Linked DNA regions of Oryctolagus cuniculus. The protein of the gene in region 1 interacts with the protein of each later gene in a pairwise test. Links are inferred from orthologs where the notes say so. Each region holds a gene or a part of one and is shown in the gene's direction. Other genes may lie near its edges.

What was found.
Region 2: the proteins of CACFD1 (region 1) and LDAF1 interact in binary tests that used the Homo sapiens proteins (3 or more experiments, as listed by UniProt). The two-hybrid records come from large-scale screens. The link is inferred for Oryctolagus cuniculus from reciprocal best matches to the Homo sapiens genes CACFD1 and LDAF1.

Annotation. Positions count from the first base shown.
Region 1 is NC_091432.1:235,451,740-235,455,696, forward strand, and holds the start of CACFD1 (calcium channel flower homolog), read left to right. Parts: upstream 1-1,157; 5' UTR 1,158-1,246; coding exon 1,247-1,367; intron 1,368-3,678; coding exon 3,679-3,751; intron 3,752-3,957. Other genes in the region: ADAMTS13 (A disintegrin and metalloproteinase with thrombospondin motifs 13), read left to right, coding at 348-497. UniProt on the Homo sapiens protein: Transmembrane protein which mediates synaptic endocytosis and fitness-based cell culling.
Region 2 is NC_091450.1:18,055,753-18,059,856, reverse strand, and holds the start of LDAF1 (lipid droplet assembly factor 1), read left to right. Parts: upstream 1-1,304; 5' UTR 1,305-1,461; intron 1,462-1,676; exon of another isoform or gene 1,677-1,816; intron 1,817-2,068; exon of another isoform or gene 2,069-2,207; intron 2,208-3,891; 5' UTR 3,892-3,909; coding exon 3,910-4,083; intron 4,084-4,104. UniProt on the Homo sapiens protein: Plays an important role in the formation of lipid droplets (LD) which are storage organelles at the center of lipid and energy homeostasis. In association with BSCL2/seipin, defines the sites of LD formation in the endoplasmic reticulum.

The DNA of each region.
Region 1 (3,957 bases):
GCAGTGGACTGCAGGTCAGCCGGGGGTACAGCCTGCCAGAAAGTTGAGGCTTTGTGTGCTCTGGGAGGCTGGAGCTCGGCCGGCGAGGTGCCCACTCCCTGGAGGCGGCTGTCTGGCCTCTGGAACTGGACACATCTGTCTGGGATCCAGCTCCGGGATGCTGGCTGTGCATCCTGGGGAAATGGGGTAACTTCTCTGAGCCTCAGTTTCTGGGGAGGATGACAGTGCCCCGATGGGGCCCCCATGGGGGTTCAGCGCTGTGCCTGCCACCTGCCACATGCATGCGTCCCTGTGTGCTGGCTGGCCGTCACTCCAGCTCCTCCTCCTGGGCTGCCCCTTTCTCCCAGATCCGGGACATCCACAGCTGGAGCACCACAGCCTTCCGTGGGCAGCAGGTGCTCTACTGGGAGTCCAGGGGCAGCCAGGCCGAGGTGGAGTTCAGCCAGAGCTTTTTGGAGGCCGGCGCCAGCCTGCGAGGCCACTACTGGACCTTCTGATGGAGGGTGCGGGAGGAAGAGGGACAGCGGGACCTGGACACTCGGCCCTGGCTGTCCCCTCCCCATCCCGCTCATCCCCACGTCGGCCTCTGACCTGCCCTCTACAGAGTGGGTGTCCGGGCCTTGCTCTCCGACAGCTTTCTGGTCTTGGGAGGCGTCGGCTGGAAGGCGAGCACACTTTGGAAAAGCCGTGCCAGCCCCCTGGGAACCAATAAACAAAACAGACCAAACACGGTGCCTGACTGTTTGCTGTACGTTACCTGCCCGAACCTTGGCAAGGTGGGGTTTTCCTGGCTGTGACTGGCTCCATCCTGAAGCCAGCAAGCCACTCGCCTACCCAGGGAGGGCAGGAGAAGAGTGTGGAGTCCGGACTGGGCCTGGAGGCCAGGTGCACCTGCTGCACCTGCCAGTGCCGAAGCCCCACCCCCATGCTAGTCCGGGTGGGAGGATCAGACGCCCAGGTGCCAGGGCCGCCAGGCCCCGCCCCGTGCCAGGGAGCGCCAGATGCCCTCCGGCGCTGCCTTGCGAGCCCCGCCCCTTATGCCCGGTCTCCCTCGGGCGCACCTGCCGGGGCTGCCAAGCCCCGCCCTCCATGCTGATCGGCGCCTCGCGGGCGCACCTGCGGCGGCCTGAGAGCCCCGCCCCCTATGTTAATACGGCCGCCTCTCCCACAAGGCAGCGCGCCAGGCCGAAGCGGCCGGGCTCCGAGCCCTTTGTGAGGGTCGGGGGCTGCGCAGGTCCGCGGCACCATGAGCGGCTCGGGCGGGGCGGCGGCGGTGTCCGCCGGCTCGGCGCCGCCCGCGCAGGAGGAGGGCATGACGTGGTGGTACCGCTGGCTGTGTCGCCTGTCGGGGGTGCTGGGGGCCGTCTGTGAGTAGCCCCCGCCGGGAAGGGACTCGCGTGGGGTCTGGGGTCCTCGGGCGCCGGCCCGGGCGGGGGCGGGGGCCGGGGAGCCGGCGCCCTCTGGTTGCCATGGTTCCTGGCCTCGGGCCTGGGCTCCTTGGTTCCCAGGACCAGGCTGGCGATTCCGGAGAGGGAACACAAACTCCCACCGTGAGCGCTGCGCTGGGCATGTGGCCGGGCCTGTCCCAATGATGCTGGGGACACCATCACCTGGGAAGGGGTGTGTGTGTGGAGAGAGCCCTGCCCCAGCCTTGGGACCCGACTGTTGTAGGTGGGGCGGGGCAGGAAGCCACCGTCCGTCCGGGAAGTATACTGATGGGGAGGTCCGGGCCCCACTGCCCTCAACGATGCCAGAGCTTTCTCTCCGAAGCCTTCAGCTGCCTCTCCTTGGCCCTTCCGGACCCCCCTGGACACACCCCTGCCCTGAGCTCCCAGGCAGGCGGGCGGCCCCTTGTAGCACAAGTCCGGAAGGCACACAAGGCAGGCGGCACGTGCGGAGCAGAAGGGACGTGGAGCCCTGGGAGGAGCTGGCCCGCGAAGGCAGGCAGCCGTGTCTGTGGCCTGTGCAACCGCCCCCTTCTTCCTGTCTGCCCTGGACATCACGGCCAGGCCTGGTGCGTCCTCTCCAGTTGGGCCGGTGGCCTCCCTGGCAGCCTGGGGTGGGCGCTCCTGAGCAGGTGCCGGTGGTCAGTGGAGAGCAGGAGGAGAGGTCCCGGCGTAAGGCCGGCACAGCCGGTGGCCCTGCCGACTCTGGAGTCCCATCCTGGGCTGTGGGTGCCGTGCCCGGGCGCTGCAGATGAAGCCGGGAAACACTGTGGCATCTCCCTGAGTTGTCCGTGTCGCCTGCAGATTAGGGGGACGGTGTATGAATCACAAGAACTGTGTCCCACCGTGGGATGGCAGAGCGTGGGTGTCTCAGGGACGCACGAGGGTGTGCATCTGGCTGGGCCCCTTGGGGGTGTGGTGCTGCCCTTTGGGGCGAAGGCCTCGAAGAGGACCCGGAGGGGCGTCCGCCCTGGCCGTAGGAGGGTCTGGAGGCAGCAGCTTGGGAGGAGAGAGCAGGCTGCACGTGACGTCAGTGACAGGCGGTCACAGGGGAGGCGGGAGCGCGGGAGGCCCTGGCCCACAGCTCCCTGCTGCTGAAGATGCTGGCGGGATCCTGCGCGTGTGTGCGGGCACCTGGCCGTCCCTGGAGGACGGAGGGCCAGGGCTGGAGCTGACCGCAGCGGGACGTGCAGGCCCTGGCCAGGGAGACGCAGCACAGCTACCGAGCGGGCGGAGCCGTGCCGTCTTGGAGACTTCGGCCGGGACAGGCAGTGCCCCCGCGTGTGTCTGTGGCCCTGGGAACCTTGCTGTCCCGGGATGCCAGGGAGGCCTTGGGCGCCGTGAGGGCAGGCCCACGGCAGCCCGGGCTCGGTTCCCCCATGTCCTCCTCCGGCACCTGCTGTCTGTATAGGGTTACACGGGAAGATGGAAAACAGCCAAATTCCAGGCCCAGGTGGAGGGATCAGGTGCAGGGGAGCCTCTGCAAGTTTAATGAGCTGTTTGCTAATTGCTGCCTCCGAGGGCCACTGCCCCGCCCCATGACCTGGGCTCGCCCGGCTCGGGTCCTGCCCAGCAGCCGGCTCCCTGGAACTGCCTTGCAGCAAAGCCAGGTGGTCCTGCAGGTGGAGGAGGGAGGGGTGTGGCGGGCCTGGTGGAGAGGTGCAGCGGGGAGGAGGGCTTCGAGGTTGTGCACCCGGGACCTTGGAGAAGGCCCCTGCTGGGGTGGGAGAGGACACCCCTGCCCCCTGGCGGTGTCCCAGGGCAGGGAACAGGCCTAGAAAGAGGGACGGCGCGCCCAGCTCCCTCGGCTGCTGTGGGACTCAGAGCTGGGACCCCTGTCCGGCTCCAAGGGGGCACCGCTCGCTCCGACCACAATCTGAGGCGCATGGCTGCATGGGAGGACCTCGAGTGAGCCGTGCCACGTGCCCCAGGCCTGGTTGAGGTGGCGCCGCGGCCTGAGCCCCTGAGACGCATCGCCCCTTAAGCCCAGCCCCGCTGAGAGGGGCGTCCACACCCCGGGGACAGAGGCCCAGCTCCTTGGGGGACAGTGGTGGAGAGAGGAGGGCGGGCGTCCCTCACAGCCTCCCTCTGCCCTAGCTGCAGCCCGGCCATCGTCCTGCCGGGGCCCGGGCAGTGTGGAGTGAGCCGCAGCCTCTCCTGCGCCGGTCGGCGCGGTGCGGACTCCTGGGCGCTGTGCCGGGCCCTGCCGACTCCTCTGTGTCTTGCTCCCCAGCGTGCGCCATCTCTGGTCTGTTCAACTGTATCACCATCCACCCTCTGAACATCGCGGCCGGCGTGTGGATGATGTGAGTAGCCCCGGCGGGCCTGCTTTCCCACTCTGGCCGCTGTCAGACCTCCCACGGAGGCTGCAGGCCATGGGGCACCCACCTGGCACAACACAGTCCCTGTGCATGCCAGACAGGCGGTCACCACGTCCAGCACCGCGGGGCCCTTCTGGGGGCTGCTCCCTAGGGCTTTGCAGTGGCTGGGCGAGGGCAGGGCAGAGACGGGC
Region 2 (4,104 bases), on another chromosome or scaffold:
GCAGAATTCCAAGTACTTGGGCAATCTTCCACTATTTCCTCAGGTGCATTATCAGGGAGCTGGATCAGAAGTGGAGCAGCTGGGACTCGAACCAGGGCTTATATGGATGCTGGTGTCGCAGGGGGCAGCTTAACCCACTGCACCACCATGGAAGCCTTTCTGGCCCCATTTTACAGAAGAAGCCATGGCTCAGAGAGGTAGCTCGGCCCAGGTCACAGATTAAGAGTCAGTCCTGGGACCACAGTCCAAGGCTGTTGAACCTCCAGTCTCTGGTCTTTCCCAGTATGCCCTTTGGTAGTGGTTCTCAACAGGGGCCAACTGTGTTCCCAAGGGTGCATTTGGCAATATTTGGGGACATTCTGTTACCACTTCTGGGAGGGGGTTTGTTACTGGTATGAAATGGGTAGAGGCCAGGGTTGTTATTAAAATCCCACAATACACAGGACAGTCCAGAAACAGAACTACCACCCCAAAATGTCAACAACCCTGCTGTTGAGAAAGTCTGCTCTAATAGGTTGTGGATTTGGGCCAGGAAACCTGAGTTCCTGCTCGCTCGTATTTGGATCCTTAGAACTGAGGGATTTGGGTTTATCTGTGCTGTAGCTCTGGCTCAAAACTTTACCATAAGTACAAGAGAGATGCCAGCAGTGGGCGCTGTGGCCCAGCGGTTTAAGTTGCTGTTTGGGACACCTGCATCCCACCTGGGAGAGAGCCCTGGCTACTCCGCACTGCCAAGTCAGCATTCCTGCTACCGTGCCTGGAAGGCAGGCCACAATGGCCCATGCACTTAGGACTGCGATGGACTTCCTGGCGCCTGCCTTAATGCTGTTGCCCGCATTTGGGGAGTGAGCCAGCAGCTGGAAGATGTGTCTATGTCGTTCTCTCCCTGTCACTCTGCCTGTCAAACAACTTAAAAAACTAATCAAATCCATCTCTAAGGCTCTGTGACTCATAACCTTTAACCCTGAGGGTAACGACTAAAGACTTCCAGCCAAGCTGGTACCTCATCACCTGCACCTGTGTCTTCAGCGCCACAGATGCTTCTAGAAGAGCCGAGTCTGCGAATTTAGGAGGCGAAACCCTAAGTTCCTTCGAAAACCCATCCTCAGCATCACCCTGAGGTGATCCGGGCACTCTCACTCCAAGCCCAGGCCGCCGGAAGGGACACTCTCCGAGCCTCTGTTTCCTCAACCCTACACCTCTCGGGGATTGTCCGGGCGGACCCCAAGTCTGGCCCAGCGACCCGGCGCGCCTCACAGAACCCGCGAGGCCGCCGCCGCCGCCGCCGCCGCCGCCGCGGCGGAGCCTTCGCCCACCTTCCGGCCGCGGGCAGGGGGCGGAGCCTCGGGGTGGCGCGCGCGCCCAGGGGCGGGGAAGGCGGCTCCGGTTCCTCCTCCTCCTCCTGCCTCCCTCCGCTCTCCCCACACAGGCGCGGCGGCGGCAGCGCGGCCGCGGGACCAGGTGAGAGCGCCACGCTCGGGGCCGCGCGGCCCAGGGTGCTTCGGCCGCGGAGACCCCCTGGCTCGCGGGGAACTTGTGGAAGAGCGCGGGGGCGGCGGCTCGAGAGTGTGCACAGGTTCCGGGGTCACTGATAAGGGGGTGTCTCCTTGTCTGGGAGTTCACAGACGCGCCTGGGAGTGCACGCCAAGGTTTGGTAAAAGGGTGACCAACCCCACCTTGCCTCGGAGACCGTCTTCCTTTCGGGAGACCCGGTTGGGAAGACGTGCAGTCAAACCTCCTGCCTAGGAGTATTGAAAATGGGTGCCGTCCTCTCCACCGAGTCACTGCCGAGAGAGAGGAGCTGCGAGTGCAAGGGTGGATTTTACTCGGCACCCCTCACCCCAGCCCGCCTCGAGTCCCCATTTCTCAGCCTCGGTGACCTCTCGGGCGCGGCGCGTGGCTTGGTCACATCCCATTCCTCCTCGCTGGGATGCCCCCCGCTTCTAGTACTAGAAAGACTGGGCCCCAGTGGGAAAGGAGGTGGTTAGGGTGGGCTCCAGGCGCCCTCCCCCAGCCAGAGATGCGACCCGCTCTTCCCCCCTCCCTGCTGGACCGTTAGAGGGTGGCCGTTTGCCCGCGGGGGCGCGAGAGCCGCGAGGTGCTTTGGGGGTTGGCGGGGCACCTGTGGCTGCGCCAGGTGGCACCGTCCGTGCGGCGAAGGCTGCCTGGTTCCCGCGGAGACCCCTGCGAGGAGCCAGGGACTAGGGGTAAGGAACTCGCTGGCCAGGTCGATGCACTTGATGGCTTGGCGGTGGCGTGCTCCCCCACGCTAGCTCCCATCGGACTTCCCAAACCGGTCTGGCGCTTGGGTTTCCCAGGCCAAAGGAGATGTGCCTGGGAATTGGGCTTGTTTCTACCCGCTGCGGAGATGAGATTAGGAGAACCGAGTGCTGGGAACATCTCAAATTCAAGGTCTGGGCCGGCTGCGGCTTCAGAGATGGAAGATGGGGTGGAGGGACTTTAATCCTCCCTGTCCACAGGCAGAACAGCGCTAGCTGGAGCCCTGAAAATGCGCTTTCATTTGCCCACAAGACCCTGTAGCTATTGGGAAACTTCTGCTTTGTAACTCACATAATTAGCATGCAGGATATTCAATATGGTAAATAAATGTGAGGTTCTCAGTTAATTTTGGCCACTGTGACTGAATGCGTTAGGCATTTGTGTTACAGGTCAGGGGGTCAATGGTAAGGGAGAAATGGAAAAGATACCTTGTTTGGGGGATCATAAAATAAGCCATTTTGGGGGGAGTATAAAAGCTCAGCAAGGATCAAAAAAGTATTTAGCCAACTGCCCTTATTAAAAATAAATAAAAATGATGTGAGGTTGGGAGCGTCCCAGAAATTCCAGGCTCCTTAGTCAGAGGATGTACTGCGGCAAGGTCTTCTCCCTAAGGCACAGCTCTCAAAACTGGGAAGAGACCCACAAGTAAACAGATTGGTTTAGGGCATTGGGAACCAACTTGTACAATATGGGTAGTAAATAAAGAAAAGAGATTGGCCACATCATTGTCTCACTAGAAAGGCATTTTTATTTTTTAAGGTCAGTGTGCCTTGAAATAGTGTCCTCAGCTTGCTTTCTGTTTTTTTTTTTTTTCAGTGTTTTGCCATGCTAAAAAAAAAGACTCTCAGTGATGATACTGTTAATAGTTATATGTCCAATATCTTTTACTCTGCAATATATACATAAAAGACATATTTGTAACAAATTGGAGTATTTTTAAAAAATGTATCATGAACATCTAAATAAAAAATAAATATTATTTATTTTTTAATTTGAAAGTTAGAGTCATAGACAGTGAGAGAGAGACAGACAGAGAGAAAGGTCTTCCTTCTGTTGGTTCACTCCCCAAATGTGCCAATCCAAAGCCATGGTCTCCCATGCGGTTGCAGGGGCCCAAGCACCTGGGCCATCCTCCATTGCCTTCCCACGCCACAGCAGAGAGCTGGACTGGAAGAGGAGCAACTGGGACTAGAACCTGGTGCCCATATGGGATGCTGGCACCACAGGCGGAGGATTAACCTAGTGAGCCACGATGCTGGCCCCTGAACATCTTTTTAATGTCACTGATTAGTAACATCATTTTAGTGACTGAATTTACCATTATCTAGTCAGTTTCCTCCTGAAGGGCAGTTAGCTTCTTCCCAGTGTCCTGCCGGTCATTATATATTATAAACAGCGATGTGCTACACGTCCTTTGGCTACATTTTTATAAACTTGTTTGATTATTTAGGTTTCGGTTGCTGGGTTAAAGTGTGTGCAATGTGAAATTTGGATAAATATTGCCAAGTTATCCACTGTCTGCATGCCCTCCCTCAGTGTGTGAGGAGTTCTTGTGGAACCAGTTGGATGGAGACCTTTAATGATTTAAGAAACATTTTTGTTTTTCTCCAGTGACAGAGACGAAGTGGCATGAGGGATTGGACTGCGCACTCCATTGATTTACTGACAGGAGAATTAATCCTCAAGAAGATTGAAGTAACCTTCAGGATGGTGAAAGAAGAGTCCCCGAGTATCTCAAAGGACTTGCAAGAGTTACAGAGGAAGCTGTCTTTGCTGATAGAGTCTTTCAAGAATAACTCAAAGGTCAGTGTCCAGTCATTATAT